Lepisosteus oculatus: one gene and its partner. The protein of the gene in region 1 interacts with the protein of each later gene in a pairwise test. Links are inferred from orthologs where the notes say so. Each region holds a gene or a part of one and is shown in the gene's direction. Other genes may lie near its edges.

What was found. The genes of interacting proteins can lie anywhere in the genome.
Region 2: the proteins of cep44 (region 1) and aquaporin FA-CHIP interact in binary tests that used the Homo sapiens proteins (3 or more experiments, as listed by UniProt). The link is inferred for Lepisosteus oculatus from reciprocal best matches to the Homo sapiens genes CEP44 and AQP1.

Annotation. Positions count from the first base shown.
Region 1 is NC_090696.1:73,394,523-73,401,612, forward strand, and holds the start of cep44 (centrosomal protein of 44 kDa), read left to right. Parts: upstream 1-4,078; 5' UTR 4,079-4,152; intron 4,153-4,353; exon of another isoform or gene 4,354-4,635; intron 4,636-5,433; 5' UTR 5,434-5,479; coding exon 5,480-5,568; intron 5,569-7,090. UniProt on the Homo sapiens protein: Centriole-enriched microtubule-binding protein involved in centriole biogenesis. In collaboration with CEP295 and POC1B, is required for the centriole-to-centrosome conversion by ensuring the formation of bona fide centriole wall.
Region 2 is NC_090701.1:33,148,637-33,156,028, forward strand, and holds the start of aquaporin FA-CHIP, read left to right. Parts: upstream 1-4,314; 5' UTR 4,315-4,361; coding exon 4,362-4,724; intron 4,725-6,355; coding exon 6,356-6,517; intron 6,518-7,192; coding exon 7,193-7,273; intron 7,274-7,392. UniProt on the Homo sapiens protein: Forms a water channel that facilitates the transport of water across cell membranes, playing a crucial role in water homeostasis in various tissues.

The DNA of each region.
Region 1 (7,090 bases):
TGTGTGACCAGAATGCAAATACAATGGAAACAGCTAAATATCATGTTAGATTGCAAAAGACGTTTGTTTTAAGAGATCTAAAATATCAACTTTACATTGACACAGTAAATGACAGGCCTGAAAAGGAAGAGGAGAAGCCCTTCTTCATATGTGTACTTGGATTTTCAACCTATTTAGAATTAATAGGCTAACTAAAGTGGGGTTATTTTATTATTATTTTAGAAGTATATAATTATGTCGTAAACATATCTTTACATATTTGGTCTGGGATGAGAGCACCTTCATTGCTTTATCTATGATGTTATTTGTTTAATTATAATGGGATTCAAAATTATTTTGCCAAGTTACCAGCTTTGTGATCACAACCTAACAGAATCATCCCCCACAGAGGCATTCCTAAAATATTTCTAATTGTTTAAAATGTAATGTGGGCAGGACAGCTTTAGGATTCTGACACTATAATTGAACTTGCTTTTCAACATTCTAGCATAGAGTGTACAGACAAGATAAGGAGTGGGCAAAGCTTTGTAAGAGTAAATAAAATAGAATGCATATTATTTTCAAAATTTCAAACAACATGGCTAAAAGCACAAAGCTATAAATGAGAGGATGCCAGTTAAGAGGCCTGATGTGCGCAAAACATCAAATCCTATCCTATATCATGTCTACAGTACTGATTTCTATTTATTTCTGATGCAGCAGAAAACCTTCTGTATTAATGGTAATGCACACGGTACAGAATCTTGTACAAAAACCTTAAAAAACATAAAAACACAAATATGAGTGATCAGGGATTATTCAATAGCGTTGCACAAGGCATCCATCCCATTTTCACAGTTGAAAAACATTACCAAAAGATAGACATTTATATTTTTAAATGACCAAGTGAGATAAAGCTCAATTTAATGGTAAATTCTGCAATATTCTACTTTTTTTCCATCTCTGCATCGGGGAAAAAGCTGAAAAGGGAAGCGTTAATTGCTCTATTAAGACTAGCTTGTGACGTGAATCCATTGGCTACATCCCTCTCATTCCAACTACACTTTGAAATGGGTCAGATATACCGTAGATAATTTAACACAATGACAAGTCTAAAAATATTTTTTTCCAACAAACTGAATGGTGTGCATCTTTATCCTAATCATTGTGCCGATGTGCCACCCATCTTCAAACATTACCTACCAAATGTTTTGATGGGTTAATAACTGTATAGCTCCCTCAGTCAAAAACATAAAACACTGCTATACCAACACATACAAATTCAGACATGGATATACACACAAACTCTTTAACAGACTCTATAAAACACCTAATCATCTAAAAAATAAAAAAAGCTTACACAGTTATATCTGTTTTCAGCAGTGAAATCACTGATATTAAGGGGAGAATGAAATTACATGCTGAAATGAAAAAAAAAGTACAGGTACATCTGGTTTGAAGTTTTTAAATAACTTTGAAACATAATTTTTGTCAAGAAGAATTATGAACCAAAATTTTTTAGACTTAAATGAATATACCAGGACTCAATATGAGCACCTATCCAGCAAGCTGTTCTCTTCAAACAGATGTCTATTTATCCATTCTCCACCAGAGGATCACAGAAGGGGAGGAGCTCATCCAGGCAGGTAACAGGCACAAGGCAGGGTACACCTTGGATGGGACGCTAGTCCTTCACAGAGTACACACACTTTTGCACCTTTTTCCAAGCAGCCAATTAACCTGCCAGTATGTCTTTGAGCTGTAAGAGAGCACCTGGAGAAAATGTGGGTTTTCTCTGGGTGCTTCAATGTACAAACATACAAACACCATGCAGATAGCACCCCAGCAATTGAACCCAGGGCCTCAGTGCGGAGAGGCAGCATTGTGCCAGTGTGCTAGCCATCTTCAAACACTTCTCTCGATATTGCCATTTCAGATTTTCTTCAGTAAAATATCTGAAGTCTACAGGTTTCACTTGAAACCAAAAATAACTTGCAATAACACACTACTCCCAGAAAGGGATTTCCTGCCCTTTTGTTTGTTATGGTGTTACGTGTGTTTCTCATAGACTGGAAACCACTATACAGCAAACGGAGGTAGCTTCAGTAGATGCATTTTATTCATAATAGGTTTTTTGGAAAACTCCTGATATCTTGCAGGATACTCTTATACAACTCGACTCCGAACATATAGTAGGCTAGGTGGCAATCAAGTACTTGATTCTCAGTGGTGGTTCCTACTAAACAAAAACGCAGTTCAGTGATAATACATTATTTTACACTTAAATTTGATTACTGCCGTCTCTACTATTCAAATACAGATTCTCTTAAAGAAAAAAAAATACATTTAATGAAGGGGGTAGATTAAGGCATGCTTTCTGAAGCAAATACGCTTATTTAGAAACAGAAGACTGATTCAAGGCATTTTCAAATGTAAATGCTCACTAACCTCCAGTGAGGAGATTGCTGTATTTTTCACATACTGTATAGGCCTACTGCATTGTACATGAGTACGCAGCTCCGTTTTGCTGATCTGCCTAGAGCAAGAACAGGGTCAACATCTGAGATTCAGAAGGCCTAAACCTGCAGAGTCTGAAAAAAAAAAAGAAGTTAATAATTGAAGTAAGGTGCTTACTTTGGGTTTACACATATAAAATGTGATGCGTCTTGCTGAACAGCACAAGATTTCATAAAGCAGGCCCACTGTGATAATAATTCCAACTTACAAATACTACTTCCATTATGTAGGATATAAACTGCAGCCTCCATGACTGATGCAATTATGCACCAGTAGCCTCATTACAAGTAAGGCAGGGTCGAGAAGTCAGAAATATATTTAATGGCTGAATTGGGGGGAAACCTTTTAGGCCAGAATGCACAATCCCAAAGAGATAGGACAGCAGGGTTAAAAGCACTCCTCTCATTAACAATGCCATCAGATGCTAAAGGACTGGTTCTTTCTACAGTGCAGTTCCACACTGTCACCAGACTGGGGTATTGATGCGAACATTCTGGTCCAGGGAGACGTTTCTGACCGGAAAAACGCTGCAAGCTTCTGAGATCTGAGACCGATTTAGGCCAAAAGGGGCAGAGGCTGCTGGCACAGATAAATAACTATGATAGTATTCTTTCATTAATAGCTACATTAGACAAGAATCTACAAGCATGACAACCAACTCTCCAAAAATATCAGTAGTAATTCAAAGAAAGTGTTACAGTTCAGCTATCCACCCTGAAGCATTACGGAACAGCATCTGGTGTTCTCATGAAGTATTTTGTCCATTGGCTACACTTACAGTTCGTAGAATTTAGGTACATCTCTTATATTTGTATTTGATATTAAAATCAATGTAACGACGCACCTCCGGCGACTATTAAAGCATTACTCGACTAGTGTTCGGCTGTGACCGCAGCAGGAGTTCACTAACAACTCGCGGGGAAGCTACTCATAAGATCCAGTCGCCCGTTGGCTGTGAAAACAAGTGTTGATCATAAATCACCAAATACTCAGGAAAAATGAACGTCGCCAACTTGTGACAAGTGCTGTGCCACCAGGCGACTGAACACTGCACGTCACAGGCGTGACGAAGCTGTGCCTACTGCATTGTCCGACAAAACAACAGGTCCTGCGCACGACTTTGTTCAAAAAGCTCCCCGAGAAGTCCCAGCGGTTCTGGTGCCGCTTCAGCAAGCTTGACTGAGGTCCACGCCTGTACTCCACCATAGGTGGCTTCTACAGAAATCTGCCACTGCTGTGATTGGCCTGGCCTTCTGACACTCAAATGTTTTCCCTTCTTTGTTAAGTTCGGTTGATTTACAACAACAACAACAACAGCAGCAACAGCAACAACAAGGGAAAAACAAAACATAAGAAAACGCCACCTACCTGTTCAAACTAAGGAATTCTACCACCGCCGCCGCGACGAAACAGCGAAGACTAACAAGCACTTTCGCAGGAATGTTTCTCTTTTCCTCCGCGATCAGTTCCCAAGCAGACCCATCTGAGACCAAAGCTGCCCCGTCTTTTCCACAGGAAGATCGAGTACTGTCTAACCTGCGTCTGTAGCGCCTCTTGCCACCTCCTCCTCCTATCCGTGACCGCCGGAGCTACTTCGCTCCGTCAGCCTCTCCACTGCTGTCACTTTTGACGTCCCGTGTTGTTGGTGGAAATGACGTAAGAAAGTAAATGAGTAAATCTATCTTGGGATCAATTTCCTTTATAAAAAAAACAGACTTAACCAGCATAACACATTCATGCTATCCAATAATGTAAAATTTCGTTACATTCAGTAAAAAAAAAATATTTTCACCACCTGGGCCAAACAGATTGACTTTAATTGTTATCGAATGTGCGTCTCTTAATTTAAAGATAATTGTATGCTTATATGTAGTTAACCAATGGCGGCAGTTCCCATGATTAACCCGGCAAGGAACAAACTGATTTTTTTTTTGTAAAGGAGAATTGTGTTTACGGTAGTTAGCAAGATAGTTTATATCAGGGTTTCGCATCTGAAAATAAATTCGTGATTTATAACAGTAACCGAGTGTAACATTTACAAGTTTTAGATTTTAATTACAGATACAGCTGATATATAAATTGTCACTGCTGTTACTGTATTGCTGTTGAGTTTTAGTTACTACAGCTGTAAATAAACTGGTAAGTAAAACTTTTTAAAGAGGAAAGGTGCATGTAGTTAAAAACTTAACATTTTAAAAGAAGACCTACGAAGTTCTGTTAGTTTCAAGTTTGCAATAATTGTCGATTGCTCAAATGTTATTATTGGTAATTCAAATCCTAGCGCTGGTGCATGTACAAAGTTTGCAGTGGAACTCAAATTGCATTATTCTAACAAGTCGAGAGTAATCATCTGACTTGCACTTTGTATCTTTTGTTTTAATGGCACCATCTCTTAATTTGTCGGTTTACGTGTTGCACCGTTTTCAAGGTTACATATTGTGGTCTTCTCACCACAATATGTAACCTTATATATAACCTTCTTCAGCACAAATCACAGTAAATCTAAAACAACAGTTGCTGCAGTTCTGGTGTGGGCGATCCATTTGTTCTTGTTTGTTCTCGGAGTTATCGTGGCAACACTGCATTTTCCTGGCTTCTGAAACGACTTAATGAAACAGGGAAAGCAGCTGAATAAGTTCAAACAGAACCCTTTTCCTCACAACTGTACTGATTTAATAAATTAATAGGAAACTGTTGGTTTAGTTACTGTAGGTAGCAAGGTACGTACCAATAACAAGAAACGATATAAATGCACAGTACGTTACAGATACTGCCCAAGAGAAATGGGCAAACTGTCAGATAAACCACATGTACGGTAGTCGGTACCTTTCAGAATGTATTCTTACATTTAATCGAGTCGTGTATTTTGTAATTTATCGTCATTATTCGGGTAGTGAAAAATGCTTCACGTATTGACCACTGTTTTTTCATGCTCAGAAACATCAGGTAAACACACACACACACGCAAAAATCTTCAGTGACAATGGCAACGGGGGATCTGAAAGGCAGTCTGAGAAAGCTCGACCAACATCTTCGATTACTTAATTATCCCAGAGAAGTGGATTACACTGGGTAAGAGCGATTGTATAATTGTTTGTCAGCTATACGAAAGTCTTTTGTATTCCATTTCTCCCATCCGCCCATGCAGCCTTGTCACCTTTGCCAATTCATTGTAATGATAAAGAGTTGTCTACTTTGGTGTAAATACTGTATATAAGGCCATATAAAGGATATGTGTAGAATGTATGACTCAATTAAAAGCAGTACCCTCTGAGCTAGTGTTGGCCCTGAAAAGCTTTAAATCCCCAGACACGGTGAATGCTGTTGGTGATCTGTGAATCACAACCTAGCAGAGCTTTAGAAAACTTGTGTAGAATCTGTAACGTGCAGCCCGTCAACTTTAAAGCAGCTGTTAAAGATGACTTGGGGGAAAAAAAAACTAACTCTTGAGCAAGGCAAAATAGGACCTAAAGCAGAAATGATGATTCAAGAGTCTGAAGGGGGTCTGTTTAGAAGTTATTCTACTTGAATCTCCTGCCTTTAAAACAGTATTTTATGTTTGGGAAAACGAAATCTCAAAAGGACAATATTGTTTCCTATATACATTGTGAAGATGTCCAGACTAATAGAAAAACAGTTAAAGCATTGCATTATTATAGCCACTGTCTTGATTTTAAGTTATATTATTAAGTAGTGGTTGATGTAGTAGTAACTATAAACAAAAGAAGATAATTGCTTAGATGCAAATGTGATGGACATAATGTCTGATGGAGGTTTCCTTACAGTTTAAGGGGCACAAGAAGCCCTCAGGAGATTTTTACTTTATTCTTTAGTCATTGCTTCCTTCTAAGGACCTGTTATAAAACCTCTATACATCTCATGTCATACATGTGGTTTTATTTACTAATAGTTAGATTAACATCTGGTATAAGCACGTTTCTTTAATTTCCTATGATGTAATTTTTTGTTATGCTTTCTGTTTCAACCTTTGTAGGCTGTAAGGTCACAGCTTTCTAAAAGGAAGAGATTCTGGCAGCTATTGTAGTTTATTGTTACCATGCCATTTTGTAAACTGTCAAGGAAAAAGGCAACTTGGAAAAATGGGACCTGTTGTTAGATTTATTACCCTGGCTGAATCACCTTATTTTACCTCAGGGTTTATTAATACCATATTAATTTCTTATGTCCGCGGTTTCAAAAAAAGTTAAAAGAAATTAAAATTAAGGAAATGCTTTAAGAAGTGCTGTGGTATTGATACATATGGTATACATTCTTTCTCTTTATGGAAATAAGCGGTAAAATATGTGCATGGTTTTCATCATAAGCGCATACACAGCAGGTATTATGAAAGTAATTTCTGTCTTGACTTACAAAGAGTTGTGTGTAAGGAATTGCATCAATATATTGTGTGCCTCGTTTTTGCCCCAATAAATTCCACAAGAAATAGGCCACAGCAAAGTTTTTCAACACCGTGTGTCATGACTATGAGACTGTTAACTACATAGATTAAAGAAGGACAGTTAACCTGTCTCCACCTTAGAGGAATGTTTAAAATTGAACGTTTTAAGAGTTACATCACTTCTCATTATACTGT
Region 2 (7,392 bases), on another chromosome or scaffold:
TAAACGTCCCCGTCACTATACTGTGGCATTAGGACCCATATAGACCGCAGGGTGAGCGCCCCCTGCTGGCCCCACTAACACCACTTCCAGCAGCAACCTTAGTTTTTCCCCGGATGTCTCCCATCCAGGTACTGACCAGGCTTACACCTGCTTAGCTTCAGTGGACTGCCAGTTGTAAGTTGCAGGGTGCTGGAATTATGATATTATAGTCTAGGGGAAGATGGCATTGTAGCGGCGAGGCTTATTAATAAGAAAGAATTAAGTGAGCTGAACCTTCCCAAATGAGGCCCCATTTCTCTGTTCATCTCTGTGGTGCAGCCACAGAGAAACTATTCATGCAAGCTGATTTAGGGTTCCTTTGATAAGGACAGCTCCCAAAGGGGGATGCACTTAGCTAAGCCTGGCTATCATGATCAATGGTCATCCATTGGCGCCTATCTGTCTAGGGAGTGCCAGTTGGACATCTGGACTGCATTACTAAGTGTCAGGAGTAAGTGACTCATATCTCACCTTGATCAACCAATCAGGGACTGGTAGGGCCGAGTAACCCACGTGGGACTCTGATGCCCATGGAACTTTTAGGCAATCAACGAGCTGAAGTTCCTCCAGGTAAAAACAGGCAACACAGAGAGCCTGTGAGATTCAGTGAGATTCAGTAAGATTCTGGAGAGGATTCTGTGGACTGTTCTAAAGGGAATTCAAAGGAGAATTCCAGGGCAGGACGGCCCAGGAGCAGAAGGCTCCCAAGGGCAGGACATTCTCGCAGCGCGCCTCCTGACCATCCTGAGACTCAGCCCGGACAACCACGGAACGGCCAGTGTGTCCGAGTGCCAGAACTTTCCTTTGTTATAAGAGTCTCGAGTGGAGGTTGCCAGAGAGTAACCAGCATCAGGCCTCGTGAACAGGTCGGAACTGTGGACAGCTGAATCACTATTCAGAACTAGCTCTTCATCAGGAACGAACTGGTCCTCTTCCTGACTTGCTGGGACCCACAGTCATCTTTTCTCCTGTGCACAAACTTTGCTAACTAGCCGGTCAGTGAGCATCTGCAGCACACCGTCGCAAGCCGCACAGCACAGCCTGGCACGGAGCCAGAAAGCCTGGATTGGACAAGCAACAGCCTGCAACTGTTTCTTTGTGCCCGCAGGAGATCTGAATCCCCAGAAATTGGATGAGTATTCAACTTCAATGCATTACAGCTCGAGAATTCAATTGTTATCCCAACCAGTTGATATCAATTTAATTCCTAAGAGTTATGTACTTGTTTTGAGTATCTAATGTAGAAGTTATAACCAAGTTCATTTATGAAACGATCTTAATGAATGATATACTGACCGTATGTCCTCTTGATATGTGTAACTCTTTGTAACTGACTGAATATATACCTTTTGTATTCTGATAACCCTCTCGATAAGATATGTTAGGTTTATATGCATATTCTATGTATTAATAAATGTATCCTCGTGTACTAGTACCTGTGTGTGTGCATTGTTTGAGTTATGTCGCATGGTTGGATTCTAAAGCCATCAAAAGAATCAAGTTTGTGATTTACTGCTACAATTAATAATTGTCTCAGTAAATGCCCAAACCCTACAGAACTGGTGTCTTCAGAAAGCCACTGTGATTACATATTTAAGTCCCTGAGCCGGTTTTCTTACAGCATGAATGAATATAAATAGCTGCACATTTTGAGGCAGGAGACAAAGACTCCTAAAAAACTTCAAGCAAGAAAGCTGAAGAAAGAAAATACATGTGTATATAACATATTTGGGTTAAACTGCAGAAAAGAAATTCTAAGAACAAAACAACTGTTATATGCCAAAGACAAGCTAATACAGACATGGATGCAAGCAGTTTACTGTATAATATACTGTATTAGTTAGGAATGTACAGTATGTAGCAAAGATGGAATCATATTACTGAGTGATTTCAGTTTTCTTCATATGCATTTAATATTGTTATGGAAATACAGCAGCTCAAACTAATATGGTTAAAATGTCAATGAATACTTTGTAAAAGCACCAACCAGGGAAGATACTCTTATCAACCTAATCACTTAAAACAATCATAGTATGCTAAAATGTCTACAGTTTGATATTATAGTTAGTTGCTACTAACTAGTTGCTATAGCTAGTTGCTAGAAAAAATACAAAAGAATTACCATGAGAGAGAACAGAATATTGTAGCACAATTAAAAACAATACAAAGCATTTCACTCAGTACTATAACATTAAAACAATGATGATTGAGTAGTGTTTTAGATAGATAATATTTTATTAATCCCGTAGGGAAATATAGTAGTAAGTAAAGTTAATAATTGTATATGTAATATGTTACATTTAAATTCACAGAGATATCCAATGTTATATAACAAGCTCCAGCAATATTGTGTAAATTAAGCACAACTGATCTTGACCCTACAGTAAATCACTAGAATTTTCCCAGTCATTTAAAAGAATTGAAGTCTGTTTTCATAGACTCCAAAATGTGATATTTTAACTCTCACTTGAATGGGAGCAGTGTCCACAGATTGGAGAACTATAAATGTCTTCAGTTCATAATGAGTAGGGTAAATGATCCAGGAAACAATAGAGCAATAAGACTAATGTTAATGCTAAAGTGAAATGCAAATGATAGAGTTGCAGTACATAACAATACTAGATAGGACTATTGCCATAATCTAGTAGTCAATAGAATGGGCTTATAAATGGAATGTCTTATTTAACTATCTTGCTAAAATGCTCAAACAAACGACATCAGAGAATATTGGTTTTCAAATTTAAAACCACACAAATCCAAACTTGTTAATGCACACAATCAAAAACAGGTTAGAAAACAGGAAATAGTACATCATTTTTATAGAGCACAAACAGTAATTGGTCTGAAATAAGCAGTGGTGTGCTGGGACCCATTTTAGGCCCACTGCTCTATGTGATCTATAACAACTACTTTGTATTACAGTTAACAAGTACATTTTGTAGTGTACATGATAGAAAAATAATTGGGGAGTGGCAAACAAAATCAAATCAGCAAGGGAGTTACAAAGAGAGTTTTGTCTTGAGACTTCTGGCAAATAATTAATATGCATCTTTGCATTAAAAAGCAAAGTGATCCATATTGAAAGTAGGAACATACACGATACATGTACTGTAGCATGGTTGATTCTGAGTAGCAGTAATCTTTGCAGAAGATGTGTACAGTACATGTAAATTCCCATATGTCCACATCAAGACAATATGGAGACTCGATAAAAAAGCAAACAGGGAGGTCTGGTGCATAGAAAAAAGACTGAATTTTAAAGTCACAAATAATATAATTATGATTATTTGGTAGTAAGGATTCATTTGAATGAAAATAGTAAAAATGTATAAAGTCTTTTACAGTCATTGGACTGCGTACTACCTTTGCCATGTTTGTGGACTATGTATAAAAACGTATTGTTATAAGGATTCTAAAACTATGCATTTTACAATTGAATAATTTGAGTTTTCTACTAGGAAAGACGTATTTTAGTAAAATTTCTATGAATATAGTCAAATGTATGATAAAAGCTTCACATCAAATATATATGTACTGTACTATAATTTCAGGATTTTTAAATTCATGTAAGTGTATTTATCCTGAATGAAAATGTGTGAACATATGGGATTAAGTGAATTAATCAACATGCCTTGTTTTTGTACACTTGTTTATAATACTGTATATTGCTTATGTGATACTTTTAAAACCCCATTTGTTTGACCATTATTAGTACATAAGAACAAGAAAACTCTGATCAGATGCAGTCTCATTAAATAACTCCTTAAGTTGTTTGTTTTGTATTTAGATTTCACTTTTCTCTTCTGAGCAGAATTTTTCTCCATAGAAAAAAGGTTCACTTTGTGATGCAAATGATTAGACAAAATAACAACTGCAGTTCTTTTGCTTCCCCAATTGTTCAGGAGTTGCCACGACAATCAAAGAGAATGAAGGAGAAACTTTCTTACAACATATCAAAACCTTATGCTGTATTTTCCCTTTTTACCAATTTACTCCTTTAACTGCAATAAAATTGAAACAATATTAAATATTTAATGTTCTGTGATATTCAACACACAATTTTAAGGAATTTACCACCAATGATATGTCTTAGCAACAACTTGTATAAAACATTTTCTAGAAAAAGCTATTTCGATGAATAAAGACTTCCTATGAAAAAGAGGTGGAACAACTGTGAAAGCTCTTGAGGTCTCACTAATTCTGCATGCTTTTGATTTTCTTTGCAACACCCCCTCCTCCCACTATGAACTGAACTCTATAAATTCTCCAGAACGTCTCTGTGTCTGTAGATACCACATCAGACCAGCAAAGCCTCAGTCAAGATGAGAGAATTCAAGAGCAAGGCATTTTGGAAGGGAGTGCTGGCTGAACTAATAGGCATTACTCTCTTTATTTCTCTTAGTATATCAGCTGCTGTAGGGCAACCTAAAGCTTCCAGTCCTGACCAAGAGGTAAAAGTGTCACTAGCCTTTGGGTTAGCTATAGCCACTTTAGCTCAAAGTTTGGGCCACATAAGTGGAGCCCACTTGAATCCTGCAGTGACTTTTGGCATGCTGGCAAGTTGCCAGATCAGTGTCTTCAAGGCTGTTATGTACATCATTGCACAACTACTGGGGGCATCGATGGCAAGTGGAATTGTGTACGGAGTCAGGCCGAATGGAACTGATGTACTGGGAGTGAATTCAGTGAGTGTTTTTTCTTGCTTCTAGAAAAAAGTTTAAAAACTTTCTTTAAAGAGTGTATGCAACTGTTGCTAATTCACTATAATTTAATTAGACAAAGTAGGTAAATATTCATATTTTATTCTCTTTTACCTATTTTGTGCACAGATGTTTGAGTGTGTGTTTTATGCAAATGCATTGGATAATCATAACACCACCTGATTTCATCCATGTGTTTTATGCACAGAGAAATAGAACCTGAATGTGAATTAAGGTAATGAGAAGGACAGCACAAGTAAAACCACACAGTGACATAATTTATGTTCAGAATACTATTTTTTTTTTCTGGAAACATGTGGCATGTGCCTCATGGTCTTCTTTACAAATTATTTTATAATTTAAATTAGATACTAAACATGTGCTAAATGTATTGTTTATAGTTCATTGCTATGACACAGAATAACTGATTTAATAATACATACAAATAATATTACATGTATAATATAAAAGAACAAGGAGACAGATTACATATTTTACCTGGACGATTTGGTGACCTTAGTGTGATATAATAAAAAAGTTGAGAAGCTCTTAGCTAAAGAATAAAAAATGTAACACCGTATAGTACATATTCCAACAAAAACAATCAGGATAATGAGCAGTGGTTTAGTAGTTTATGATGACCTCTAGTGGTCTGTTCACTAGTTTGTGTTTCTTAATTAAATTACATCACTCACTAAATTCATTTAAAACTGTAAGACACATCAGCATTTTCGGATAACATATCCCATATAGATTTGATATCCCAGATCTTTCTTGAGTTAATCTCTAATTGTAATTAATGGAAGGTAAATAATGGACGTTTTTGCATGACTTTTTTAAATTGTCTTGAGCTCAACTGTTGAAATAAAGTGGATATTGAAGTTTAACACATGGAAAAATATTAAAAGAAATTTTAGTAGTTCAACTGCTACTAACCAGAATACCATTGGATTCAAAGGTTCATCAAGGAAGTTACATATTTTACATCAGAGTTCTTTTTCAATGAAGCATTTATAACTGCTTTTACCAGTAAAATAAAATTTGGGAGGAGAATCAAGTTTAAAAAATGATGTACTGAGATAAATAAAAAAATGTATAGTTACATAAAGTCCCTAGTGAGAAACAGAAATATTCTGACTTAGATTTATTGTAAGTAGTGCACTTTCAGTCTCTTATTGTACTTATTGACCATTACTGTATCAGTTCTAAAATAAAACTGTCCAAAAGTGTCATTTAGTGGGGTATCAATACTTTGATTATTCCATCTTTAAAAAAATCCTGTAATCAGTGTATGATTAATATTCTTATTTAGACACTTCAAACAAATGCAGGAGTGTGGAGAAAGCAACTCAGCTATAGTATGTTGTTGAAACCACACATCTTAAAAAAAAACCTGCATAAGATACTCAGATCAATTAGTTATCAGCAACCAGATAGACTAGATGGCCTTCTCTTCCTTGTCACCTTTGTTACCTTCTTATGATACCTAATAATATGTGATTTGTTGATATAATGTTCACAGGTAGTTTAAAAGTAAACAATCTTTTATCCAGAGATGACAAGAATCATTATTTTTTTCTCAACCTTTAAAATGTGTATCTGTCTTTCTTTTACAGCTAAACAATGTAACCTCCAGTCAAGGTGTTGGAATAGAGCTTCTTGTCACCTTTCAACTGGTCCTGTGTGTTATAGCAACAACAGATAAGAGACGGCATGATGTCACTGGCTCAGCACCCCTTGCCATTGGTCTCTCTGTGGCCTTTGGGCACCTTGCTGCTGTACGTCATTAAAACATGAATTCTTAGTATTCACTTCTGTAAGTCACTTAGAAATTGACTGAAATATAATGTACACCATAGAGTGGAAAAAATCACTGGTGATGACTAGCCAGTTCCAATTTAATTTAACAGCTGACTTGATCTACAGTATGCAAATGTATGTAAGCAGTTGGTGCAAAATGGATTGAGTCAGAGGCAGAGATTGAAATTAAAAGCCCCGGTAGAGTTAGATACAATACCCTTTTAGTGTTGCAGTCTGAGCAATTGCAAACACTTTCTAAATTTGCTCTGCTGCCAGCAGTAATGTTTTTCAAATGATGAATTTACAGAATAAATTTAAACTTCACCCACTTTCCTCAGTAAATGCTTGCTATTTTAGATCTAGAATTCTGTGAAACACTTTTTCTTTTAGATTTTTTAAAAATAGTTTTGAAGCAAAAAAACAATTCTGAAAGTGACCTTTGGTACGTTTCTGCTAGTATTTGAACATTTCAGGAAAAAAAAAACATGGCTTAATTATAAAAAAATAGATCCTATAATAACCACTTTACTTTATTTTTGTGTCAGTGAGTGTTTTCTCCTGCACAGCTGGTAAGATATCACGTATTAATTTGTCATTTGGATAATTAGAAAATACCATTGCAATCCCATGCAAATCTGTGGTTTTCTCCCCAGATCAGTTATACTGGATGTGGAATGAACCCAGCTCGATCCTTTGGCCCTGCTCTGATTACGTCTAACTTCAAAGACCACTGGGTAGGTGGAATGTGAAATTTAAAAACAAATAATGGAACCTTAAATTAGCACTTACATTACAGACTTCGACATATTTGTCTTACTTAAGATTTAAAAAAAAGTTAACATGAAAATGTGTT